Oryzias latipes: one gene and its partner. The protein of the gene in region 2 purifies or fractionates together with the protein of the main gene of each other region. This does not show direct contact. Links are inferred from orthologs where the notes say so. Each region holds a gene or a part of one and is shown on either strand. Other genes may lie near its edges.

Region 1 (5,909 bases), on a different chromosome or scaffold from region 2:
GTTATCTTCCTATTTTGTTGAAATAAAAAGCTATTTTGCACTTGATGACTTATACATAAAAGATTAATTTTTCTAGTTTAATCCAACACAAATCACAACAGTCAGTTTACATATATAAAAAAAACAGCATTGTGTACAAATTTCTTTTTTTTTAAGCAAATATACAAACATGCTGCTCACTTACCAGATAAAATAGGTAATCACAAGAAACTGGACCGCCCTGTAAATGACTCCAAGAGTTCTGTTTTTCACGACCATCACTTTGGGGGTTTCGTAGTCCCAAAAACCACTGAAGCACTCCTTTAAAAAGTCATATAGCCCCATGATGACTTTATGAAATGCTGTACTCATATCCAAATCAGTGCTTGAGTCTTTTTATCAACAGAACTTTATCTTGTTACAACATTTCTTCTTCTCCCTGTCTGAGGCTGCTCTGCTCTTGTCTGCATTTTGCTGAAGCATCCCTGACATATGTGAGGGGTCCAATAGACAAGGGGTGGGGCTTAGATTTACAGTACAGACCAAATGTTTGGACACACTTTCTCATTCAAAGAGTTTTCTTTATTTTCATGACTATGAAAATTGTAGATTCACACTGAAGGCATCAAAACTGTGAATTAACATATGTGGAATTATATACATAACAAGAAAGTGTAAAACAACTGAAAATATGTCATATTCTAGGTTCTTCATAGTAGCCACCTTTTGATTTGATAACTACTTTGCACACTCTTGGTATTCTCTTGATGAGCGTCAAAAGGTAGTTTACCTGAAATGTTTTTCACTTCACAGGTGTGCCCTGTCAGGTTTAAAAAGTGTGATTTCTTGCCTTATAAATGGGGTTGGGACCATCAGTTGTGTTGTGCAGAAGTCAGGTGGATACACAGCTGTTCGTCCCACTGAATAGACTGAATTTGTTTTAGTGCTAGAAAAAAGCAGCTAAGTACAGAAAAATGAGTGGCCATCATTACTTTAAGAAATGAAGGTCAGTCAGTCCGAAAAATTGGGAAAACTTTGAAAGTGTCCCCAAGTGCAGTCAGAAAAACCATCAAGTGCTACAAAGAAACTGGCTTACATGTGGAGCGCCCCAGGAAAGGAAGACCATGAGTCACCTCTGCTGTAGAGGATGAGTTCATCCGAGTCACCAGCCTCAGAAATGGCAGGTTAACAGCAGCTCAGATTAGAGAGCAGGTCAATGGCACACAGAGTTCTAGCAGCAGACACATCTCTACAACAACTGTTAAGAGGAGACTTTGTGAATCAGGTCTTCATGGTAGAATATCTGCTAGGAAACCACTGCTAAAGAAAGGCAACAAGCAGAAGAAACTTGTTTAGGCTTAAGAACACAAGGAACGGACATTAGACCAGTGGAAATGTGTGCTTTGGTCTGATGAGTCCAAATTTGAGATTTTTGGTTCTACATGCCTGCTCCCACTGTAAAGCATGGAGGAGGAGGTGTGATGGTGTGGGATGCTTTGCTTGTGACAATGTTGGGGATCAAGAAAGAAAAAGGGCCAACATGTCTGTCTGTCTGTCTGTCTGTCTGTCTGTCTGTCTGTCTGTCTGTCTGTATCTATATCTATATCTATATATATATATAGATATAGATATATATAACAACCTGTAGGATAATATTGTTTTATGCAGCAGTCCACCATTTAACTAAACAGTGCATTCAAACATTGTTATTAATGTTATTTTTTTGTTATTGCTTTTTTTAGTAGCTCGCTCATCTACCGCAGCTTAATAAGACTATTGCGAGCAGGCAGATGAGCGGTCGACTGTGGGTCCTCGTGTCCGCTAAACCCAATCTGATTCTCTTGCGCATGTCAAACAACACGTGCATTTACAGCAAAACATGGTGGTCGTGTTCAGATTTTAACTACCTGACAACATATTTAGTTAAAAACGGTTTGTTTGGCTTTATTTCAGATAAACTAATTTCTTAAGTATGGGCGGCACTCAAAAGAAAAAGGTAAATGCTGGCGTTTTGTTTGAACTCAGTAACAGTTTCCATGCTACGTACGTAGCTAGCTAAACTAGCTTAAGTTTGTTCTAAGTGGTTCATTATGTTGGGCAAACGTTTACACGTGAATGTGAACAGTCAAAATTACATTTAATGCAGTTTACGGAAATTGTTACTGGAAATTTTTAAAACCGTTTTCTTTGCAGTTTGAGAGGGGCTCTGCCACCAACTACATTACACGAAATAGAGCTCGGAAGAAGCTACAGTTGAGCCTACCAGACTTCAGGTACCACACAGCTCAAGTTTTTTTCTTTTTCTTTTTTTTGTAAATAATACCTTTTTTTTTTTTTTTTTTTTTACCACTGATTTGGATGTTTTTTTTAACACGAGGTATTTGTTAAATTATTTTTGAACTGCAACTGAACTGGAGTGTGTGATTTTATGGTTTAATTTTCAGAGATTGTTATTAATGTACCAGCCCCTTTGTGTCTGCACATAACTTTGTGGTTAAGCATAGTTATAATAAAGGTTAACCTATTTGGAGCAGTTTCTTAAAGTATACACTACAGTGTAAAAAAAAAAGAACATGAAAACGTTGCAAATCATAAATGTTGGCAAACATTTATTTACTGTCCTTAAACATTTAACAGTTTGACATTCAGTAAATATAAATACTTGACATTACTTGCTACATTATTCAAACATGTAGTTGTAGAGTTGGATAAGTTAATTCTACCTTAACAGTCCTGGTACATCACCTGTCTGTCCTGGGAGAGGATCCCTTCTTCATCATGTGGACACAGCGGAGACTGTTTCCCCCGGAATCTGTTATTTATTTATCTATTTTTAATAACGTTTTGCTTACCGAGAAGTAGGGTCTAAGGGCAGGGGTGCCCAGTTTAGCTTAGTCTGTTTAGTTAAGTTTAGCAATGACCTACTGTATTTAATGACTGATTTAATGTTAGCCCAATAAGACAACTATTATTGTATTATTGGGCTATACAAAAAACATGCGACCAACAACAACCTTTAGCCTTTAATGCAATTAAAATATGTGCGGGCAGTGCAGCAATGTGCGTCTCGTATTGTGTGTGGCCAACATGATTTTCCATCAGATTTAGTCAGACTGCGATACACACTCATGTCATTTTTTTGTATCTCTGATGACTTGCTTTACTTTTTGTTTTAGACGACTCTGCATTCTTAAAGGCATCTATCCTCATGAGCCGAAGCACAAGAAGAAGGTCAACAAGGGCTCCACTGCCCCCAGGACCTTTTATCTGCTTAAAGATATTCGTTTTCTGCTGCATGAGCCCATAGTTGCCAAGTTCAGAGAATACAAGGTATTTCAAAATGTGTAAATGTTTTTTATTATTTTTTTATTACTTACATGCATAGAGAGAGCACAGTGTCGATTCCCTTTCTCTTCAAAGTGTGAATTAAAGAGCTTGTTGATACAAAAATACATTGCAGAAAATTTGTTAAAATAGAAATGATCACCAAAAAGTGACTAAGTTTGAAATGCATAACTTGTAGTTGATCTTTAATATGTAAAAAACTTTTTGTTTTTGCATTTTTTGCATTACCTGCAATGAAAAGTGAGGATTTAAGAGATCCATTCCTTCTCTGCAGTATAGACTTAAGTGTGCATACTTAATGTGCATGCTCACACATGGATTTGGATTTAAGGACTGGAAAATGTAAACAATATAAGGTTTTAATATATTATCAAACAACTTTATTTATTTTGGTAATAATCTTTTTGGATACTATACAGTCGAAGTGTAAGTTAGCCTAAAAATTTGTTCTTTGTTTTAATAGATATTTGTACGGAAACTGAGAAAGGCTTATGGAAAAACGGAGTGGTCTGCAGTTGAAAGACTGAAAGAAAACAAGCCAACCTATAAATTGGACCACATCATTAAAGAGAGGTGAGACTGACTTAAAAAGTGGGGCATAAGTAGATTTTTCTGTTAAATGAACCCATTGTTCTGTGTTTTTCTAGTTTTTAAATGTAAGACAGATAAACCTACCTCTAAGTCAATTGCTTTCTGTTGTAGATACCCCTCCTTCATCGATGCCCTCCGTGATATCGACGACGCCCTTTGCATGTGCTTCCTCTTCTCCACATTTGCCAGAACGGGAAAATGTCACGTCCAAACAATCCAGCTCTGCAGACGCCTCACTGTGGAGTGGATGAACTATGTGATTGCATCACGCTCTCTCAGAAAGGTGCAGCTTTACTGAACTCTTTCACAGAAAAAAATTACAGTTCTGTGTTTTCTGACATACAACCCACTCTGTTCCCGTTAGGTTTTCGTCTCCATCAAGGGAATGTACTATCAGGCTGAGGTGATGGGACAGCTCATCACATGGCTGGTGCCCTATCAGTTCTCCCATGATGTAAGTCAAATTGATGAAATGAGGTTCATAAGGAATATACCAATAAGCAGTGACAGCAAAATCAACAATGTTCTAACTAAACACAGAAAGTCCCCAGTTAATTAGTAAAGCTGTTTACATAGTTTCCAAAGTCTGACATCATCTTTTTATATTTACTTTTAAATACCATCTAAGTCATTTAGGAACCAAAACATTTTAATTAAAGGTGATTAATTTCCAGTTGAGGTGCAGACGCCGAGACTCCTTTATGTTGACTTGCTTCAGTGCCTTTTCATTGTTTTCCAAATACTGATGTCCTCAGAAGAAATAATTCTTCTTTACAAATAGACAATTTAACAGCTAAAAGAGGGAGGAAAGCTACATAAACGTTCATGTGATTTTTGATCATTTTTATAAAGTGTAATTTTAAACTATTTTTTTGAATTATTACTCAAATTATATGTTGAAATGTTTCACTTTGACACAGTTATTTGGTGAGTAGACCTTTTATTTTTCTAAAATAATATTTTTGCTGTTTTAGCACCCAACAGATGTTGACTACAGAGTCATGGCAACTTTCACAGAGTTGTACACAACCCTGCTGGGGTTTGTGAACTTCAGGCTCTACCATTCCCTCAACCTGGTCTACCCTCCAAAGGTATTTTGAACTGGAGACGATTTTAAGACATACGTATGAGCTCCACTTTGAACCTACTCTGTTTTCACACAGCTGGACATTAAAGCAGAGTCGGAGCTCAAGGGAGAGAATGAAGATGAATATGCTATGGACTCAGAGAGCTACCCCGAGGTTAGTTTTTATTTATTTGTTTCCCACAGTGAACAGCCTAAAATGCCTGTTTTTATTTACGGCCTTTTGTTTTAGTATTTATTTTCTCTTTGACTTTTATTGTGGCCCTAAAATCACATTAACACATTTAGCAAAAAAACTTGTGAAAGATCACAATGACAATTAAAAAAGACAAAACTATTAAAAAACATAAATGAATAAGATTACATTTTAGTAATTGAAGCAATATTCCAGAAGCCAAAACCAAAACACAATACCAGAAAAAGGAAACAAAATAAAAATGAAACGTTTCAGAAATTAAAATTAATGTCCAGAAACAAAAGGAGAAACCAGGAAAGGTCGGTATTGTGGGTCCTAACTGATTGAATGATGACGTTTGATCACCTTTTCAACGAAAAGTTATTTGGCATTGTAGACAGAAGATATTTGATTAAACTTCTGGCCTCAGTTACTGCAAAGGGTTGACTGCTCATTCTACTCTCAACCACAGTTTGGGCAACACATTCTTCTGCTTTCCCTCTTCTTCAAAACTCAAACATCTTCATCCAGTCAGTGATACCCACCTTTCTTGGTCTCTTATTATTTAATGTTTAAACATTTCATTTTAATTCTGGCAATTCCTTTTGTTTTCCAAAAATGTTTTTTTTTTATGGTTTGGTTTCTAAAATGTAAAATATATATATATATAGATATATAGATATTTTTTTATCATTATCATCTTTTTGTTGTTGTTTTGATCTTAAATATGTTTTT
Region 2 (6,012 bases):
CGGATCCACACTGATTAAATAAATTTTAGGACACATCAGTAGAACACAAAAGCTTTCTAAAAAACAATGTAGCTGCTTTCCACAACACAATTGGTTTACCAGAAGCATCAAAAGAGACAAAAGTGTGTATGTGCTGGCAGATCAGCTGATGGAAGAGTTTTGAGTGTGTGGCTGCTAGCCTGTGTGCTAACCTGCTGTCAGAGTCTTCCTCAGGGTATTTGTCCACCACGTTGATGATGTCAAGACACACCAGACCCACGCACAAGATCTTTTTCTGCTCCGCCATGCTCATCCGGTCTGTCCCTGTGTGTCCTCAGGCTGTCATGAACGCACACTGCAGCATGCTGCTCTTTCACACACTCACACACAGCTCATTTTCTTCCAGTCAAGCCACTACTAGCAGAACCAGCACTTCCTGTGAGCTAATCTACAAAATAAGAGCTTCCCTGGTACCAATGGAAACTGGTGACTCTGTAACATCTCTTACTACCTTTCATGCATCATAATCTTGATGTGGACTATTGACACCTTTGCAGTAAATTTTCATTCACAAGACCGCACTTTAGACCCAACCAGAACCAGTGAGCAGCCCCTCCTATATAACTGCATTGTGTGCATGATGTGTGTGGCATCATATAAACACGTAAGAGTTTGTCCAAGCCAATAACTGAAACCGTCCAATCACTTCCCTTCCAGACCACAGAAAGCTTTTCAGTAATACAAACTATGCAGAAGTTTATTCAAAATGTTTAGTTTGTAGCTTATAAATATAGACAGCAGAGGGAAGTGGTGGTTATGTCCGAGTCCTCAAAGTCATGGTTCACGAGTTAGAAACCCACTACTGTATTTTCAGTGTGCAGGTTATTTTTCCTTCCATAAAAGCTGAATTAACAGCTCAGGAAATTCATGAATGAATAAACGCTCCTGTCGATGCAGTGGAACAAAGTTCTCAGCTGTTTCAGGGGAGGAGCCAGCCAGTTGCATAAGGAGCAGCATTGCATCACTGCACAAACATTATTGCTTCAGTTTAGACGTCACTGTCACTGTCACTGTCAGAACATTTTCTGTTTGTTTTCCTGTGTGTCCTATAAGGTCCACCTGCCAAAAGGTGAGGATTTCATCTATGTCAGACCCCTTGGCCCGCAAGAGGGCTTCAAGGGCTAATGACACATTTAACGTGACGGGAAGTTTTACTTTTTTTTTGTTGTTTTATGAAGAATCTGCTGACGAAGCAAGGGCAGAACGTCCCCTACTGTATGCACTGACCTCTTGACTCTGCTGATTGCGAACTACAAAAACTACACACAAAGTCACGGTGGGTGCTAAAGCAAACATCCCCACAGTTTGTGGCAAAGCAACACCTGAAAAGAGATATAATCAAAACTAAAGGGCAAATGAACAAAAAGAAACAAACAACAAGCATATGAGTATTTTTTTATTCAACAAATGAATCAGGAGCAGATGAAAAATTGTAGTAGGAAAAGCTTGTAGGTGTGATGTAGGTGCTACAATGGGAAGATGACAATCCCCACTCCGCTCTACTCTGATGCATCCACTTGCAGACAAATAGTTAAAATTAAAAAAATAATTATGGATTAGATTTATCTGCAGTTTTGCACACGCTCAAAGCGCTTACATTGTGTTCAATATTCATTCACTCCTCATTCATACTTGGAGATGACAGAAGCATGGCTGCCAGTTCGCGCCTACGGTCCCTCTGACCATCACCATCATTCATACGCATTGATACAACAGTGATGCCGCACTGGATCCATGTATATCCATGATCCATGTATGTATATTTTTTTGCCATGCTGTACATTAATTGTTCTAAGATTGTAAAACTTGTAATTCATAAAAAAAAGAAAGAAAAAAAACATGATCCCGTAGCTTTTCTCTTTGTTTTTGTGAAGGCCTCCGCGGCAGCAGGAGGCGCCAAACAACATGGAAATCTTAGAAACCGGAATCTAGCGCTGACATTTCCGGTTTTCGTCTACACGTGAGTGCGTGGACAACAGAACCTGGAAAAAATGCTGGCGCAACTGGGTCTGATCGGGACCCTCCGGGACGAAGACCAGAGCCCGGAGGAACCCGATACCGAGTCAGAACCAGAGGTGAGTCCATACTTCTGCACGAAGGATCCTTTCGTCAAAGTTGGTTTTGTGGTTTATTTCTGACTTTGGTTCTGCTCCATCTTCCTAATCTTCTGTTGAATGACTCTGACCCTGCAAGAATAATAGTTGTTGCCAGGTTGGAGACAACCGTCCTCCTTTAAATTGACACACATTTTCTATAAGTAAAATGGATCTTGTAGTTGTGGTTCTTTTAATAAGCCCACCCTTCAATTTATACTTTTAACTTTTTAAAGTCTTTTTTTAAAGAACAATTTTAATATTTGTATTTGCTCTACTCAACACAATCTTAAGAAAAACATTTTAGCACAGACGTTTTGTTGAATTTAGATCAGAATTCACTGGAGAACACTTGAGAACAGTCCAATGTTTTGCTGTCAGTTATGGTATCTGTTGTGGTTTTATTAAATACCATTATTTATTAAGTTTATATCAGTAGTTATTTTACCTTTTAGCCGAATAAATTGGCTTTAAAAGAAAATAAGATGCTGAATGAACTGTTGTGTGCAGGAGGGGCCAATAGTCCTGAACAGGAAGAAGAAGCAGGGACCCCGCAGCTGCAGAGACTTCAACTGCGACTTTGAGTTTGTCGAAACAGACCGGCCGAGCCGTGATGAAGCCTGGGCCATGGCCGACGTGATGTCCCAGTTAAAAAAAAAGGTAGCTGGTTTGGCAGAGAACCGAAACGTCCTCCGTTCTTTTGCACTGATGTCCGCTCTGTTTCTGCAGAGAAGCCTGACGACGCTGGACCAGAAAATAGAGACAATCCGGAAGAAGAGGAAGGCTGAGGTGAGTCCAGTTCAAAAACTGTCAGGAAGTCTTACGGAAGAAGCGCTAGAGTTTATGCAGATGTATTATTCCCAAAATAAGAATAACTTTGAGAGTTCAGACAAACACTCGCCATAATTTGAAATCTTAATTGATAAAAATGAAAGAAAAGACAATTGAAGATTGAAAAACTATTGAAAGAGATGAAACAACCTAAAAATGAGCATCAAATACTTGTAAAATTATAACAAATTATTTTATTATTCTTTTATATCTTTTTTTGTTTGTTGATTTGAAGTTAAGCTGTTTTTTTATTGTCTTTGAACGGTGAGGTAAATTGGGGCGGAGGGTAAAAGTCTTATTGTTTTCACTCTCTTTTGTTTGATAGTTGTTACCTCGGCCTTTGTAGCAGCCTGATGTTTTAGAGCTTTGGAAATAAATGAAAAACATCTAAAAAGTGAATGTGTCTGAGGAAAAGTTTGGCTCAATCTGCAGGACAAGCAGAGTCCCAAAGAGGGAAATCCTTCAGCTTCTGAGAAGGAAGAGAAGGAGGAGGAAGAGAAACTGAAGGCAGAAGAGGATGAGAATGATGACAATGATGATGATGACGACGACGATGATGATGATGATGATGAGGAGGAGGAGGAGTTTGGCTCCAGTGATGAGGAGGTTCTGACCAAATCAGGTGGGTGTAAAGGCGAGACCCTAAAAAAACCTTCATATCTCGTGGTGTTTTCATTCAAATGAACATTTGAGCAGTAGAACCCAACGATAATACCTAGAAGGGAAGACATTCGTGTGAGCTGCTCAGGTGGTTACTATAACAACAGCATCAAAGGCCATCTGGGCCAACAGACAGAAAACACTTTTAAAGAACAGAACTTTGGAGGTTCTGTGGAGGCTCTTGGAAACCCCTGAGTAAAAGTTTTCTCTTTCTGCCAGACACCCTGAGAGATAAAGGCCGACGAGGAAAGAAGAGGAAGGCAGCAGAGGAGGTGAGGAGGAGGAGTTTGTGTCTTGGTTCTGGTTTCAGGTTCATATTTACCAGCGTTTTTTTTCTTTCTTCAGGCTCCTGAGTCGTTCCACGAAGATGCGTCTCAGTTTGATGATCAGCTGAGCTTTGATGACATGAACCTGTCCAGACCCATCCTGAAGGTGAAGCTTGTCTGGGTCAAACAGGTGTAGTCAGTCCGCTCAGAGGTCCACAGGCTCACCTTCCTGCTCTTGTTCTTGTGTTCTGGCAGGCTATCACAGCTTTGGGCTTCAAGCAGCCCACTCCCATCCAGAAGGCCTGTGTTCCGGTCAGCCTGCTGGGCAGAGATTTGTGTGCCTGTGCTGCCACTGGGACAGGTACCTGAGCTGCTGGTTTGACCTGTAGATTGGCGGTGCCGGGTCTGGCAGATGTAACCTGTCTGCGTTTGTCTGCAGGAAAGACGGCGGCCTTCATGCTACCTGTGCTGGAGCGTCTGATTTACAAGCCCAGAACCTCCCAAGTGACCCGGGTCCTGGTTTTGGTTCCTACCAGGGAGTTGGGGATCCAGGTGCACTCTGTTGCCCGGCAACTGGCCCAGTTCACTTCCATCACTACCTGCTTGGCTGTCGGTGAGATTAATTCCCATCATTCTTTGGTCCAACAGATGGTTCTGCTTCTGTACCGGTCTCTAGCCCCTGGTTCTTATCTATTTCCTGTCTCCAGGGGGTTTGGACCTGAAGTCTCAAGAAGCAGCATTGAGGGCGGGGCCAGATGTCCTAATAGCAACACCAGGTCGACTCATTGACCACCTTCACAACACGCCAAACTTTGAACTGAGTCATATTGAGATCCTAATTCTGGACGAGGCCGACAGGTAAAGACTTATTAATCGATTTATGGGCGTGGCCCATGATGAGACACTCACCTGTGGTTTCTGCTCAACCCTCTCAGGATGCTTGACGAGTACTTTGAAGAACAGATGAAGGAGATCATCCGCCTGTGCTCCTACAACAGACAGACCATGCTGTTCTCTGCCACCATGACAGAGGAGGTACGCCGGGATGGGTGGGGTAACATTTCAGGTGTGAAGGGCTGATGGTGGCAGAGATTCCTACTGAAGTGGAAGCATCTTTAGGGAAAACTTACTCCCTGAAGAAACCTGGAACCTTTTCTGTGATTCCTAGCTGTGACTTTCCATGTGACTTGTATGCTTTCTTGTCTTGTATAATCTATGTCCAACTGTTACTTGCCTGCCATCTTGCTACACGCTCTTTGACTCGTTTACCATCCCGCATCTTGTCCGCACAGGTGAAAGATCTTGCTGCCGTGTCGCTGAAGCAGCCAGTCAGAATTTTTGTAAACAGCAACACAGACGTGGCGCCGTTCCTGCGGCAGGAGTTTATCCGGATCCGACCACACAGAGAAGGAGACAGAGAGGCCGTCGTGGCCGGTAGGATCCAGTTCCGCGGGCTGCTTGGCAACACTGTCGGTGGTGTGGTTCTCCTCAGACCGTTACTTTTTTGCACTTCAGCTCTCCTGACTCGGACCTTCCAGGACCACGTGATGTTGTTCACGCAGACGAGGAAACAGGCGCACAGACTGCACATCCTGTTGGGCTTGATGGGCCTGAAAGTCGGAGAATTGCATGGAGAACTTAGCCAAAATCAGAGACTGGAGAACCTGAGGTACTCAAACCAAAGACGAAGTGCATCATATATGTAGAGAATCAGACACAAGGGAACTCTTCTTGGAGTGTCTTCATTGTTGTTTTGTTCTTTAGGCGTTTCAAAGATGACCAGATAGACATTTTGGTGGCCACAGACGTAGCAGCTCGAGGTCTGGACATCGATGGAGTGAAGACGGTGAGTTGTGCCGCAGTGAAGCTGCTGGTTTGACTTTTACAACCTTTGTTTCAATTTGAGACACAGATCACATTTTTTTATTGTTTTGTTCTGGCTACTAAATGTTGAAATAGATTTTAAGGAAACTTGTTTCTGGTTAAAGTTTTTCCCCTGCAATTTATTCCATAAAGGAATGAATCGGATATAGTTTTCCTTGCTTTCTTTTATTAATATATATTTGTATATTTTAATAACATATCTTTATTTTCTCAGTTAAATTGAATGAACGGTTAGAATA

Evidence for each region. Proteins that work in one complex are often made in the same cells at the same time.
Region 1: the proteins of ddx27 (region 2) and pes1 purify together in Homo sapiens (affinity purification with mass spectrometry; 4 studies listed by BioGRID and IntAct, counting the BioPlex papers as one, with this or other methods). This does not show direct contact. The link is inferred for Oryzias latipes from reciprocal best matches to the Homo sapiens genes DDX27 and PES1.

Annotation. Positions count from the first base shown.
Region 1 is NC_019867.2:13,302,404-13,308,312, forward strand, and holds the start of pes1 (pescadillo homolog), read left to right. Parts: upstream 1-1,778; 5' UTR 1,779-1,951; coding exon 1,952-1,975; intron 1,976-2,172; coding exon 2,173-2,252; intron 2,253-3,155; coding exon 3,156-3,309; intron 3,310-3,787; coding exon 3,788-3,897; intron 3,898-4,026; coding exon 4,027-4,198; intron 4,199-4,279; coding exon 4,280-4,369; intron 4,370-4,889; coding exon 4,890-5,006; intron 5,007-5,078; coding exon 5,079-5,156; intron 5,157-5,909. Other genes in the region: p2rx2 (P2X purinoceptor 2), read right to left, coding at 185-351. UniProt on the Homo sapiens protein: Component of the PeBoW complex, which is required for maturation of 28S and 5.8S ribosomal RNAs and formation of the 60S ribosome.
Region 2 is NC_019863.2:25,259,624-25,265,635, reverse strand, and holds the start of ddx27 (probable ATP-dependent RNA helicase DDX27), read left to right. Parts: upstream 1-1,979; 5' UTR 1,980-2,030; coding exon 2,031-2,114; intron 2,115-2,642; coding exon 2,643-2,792; intron 2,793-2,861; coding exon 2,862-2,921; intron 2,922-3,395; coding exon 3,396-3,585; intron 3,586-3,842; coding exon 3,843-3,895; intron 3,896-3,968; coding exon 3,969-4,055; intron 4,056-4,144; coding exon 4,145-4,250; intron 4,251-4,328; coding exon 4,329-4,502; intron 4,503-4,596; coding exon 4,597-4,747; intron 4,748-4,824; coding exon 4,825-4,924; intron 4,925-5,181; coding exon 5,182-5,323; intron 5,324-5,404; coding exon 5,405-5,558; intron 5,559-5,653; coding exon 5,654-5,735; intron 5,736-6,012. Other genes in the region: khk (ketohexokinase), read right to left, coding at 192-292. UniProt on the Homo sapiens protein: Probable ATP-dependent RNA helicase. Component of the nucleolar ribosomal RNA (rRNA) processing machinery that regulates 3' end formation of ribosomal 47S rRNA.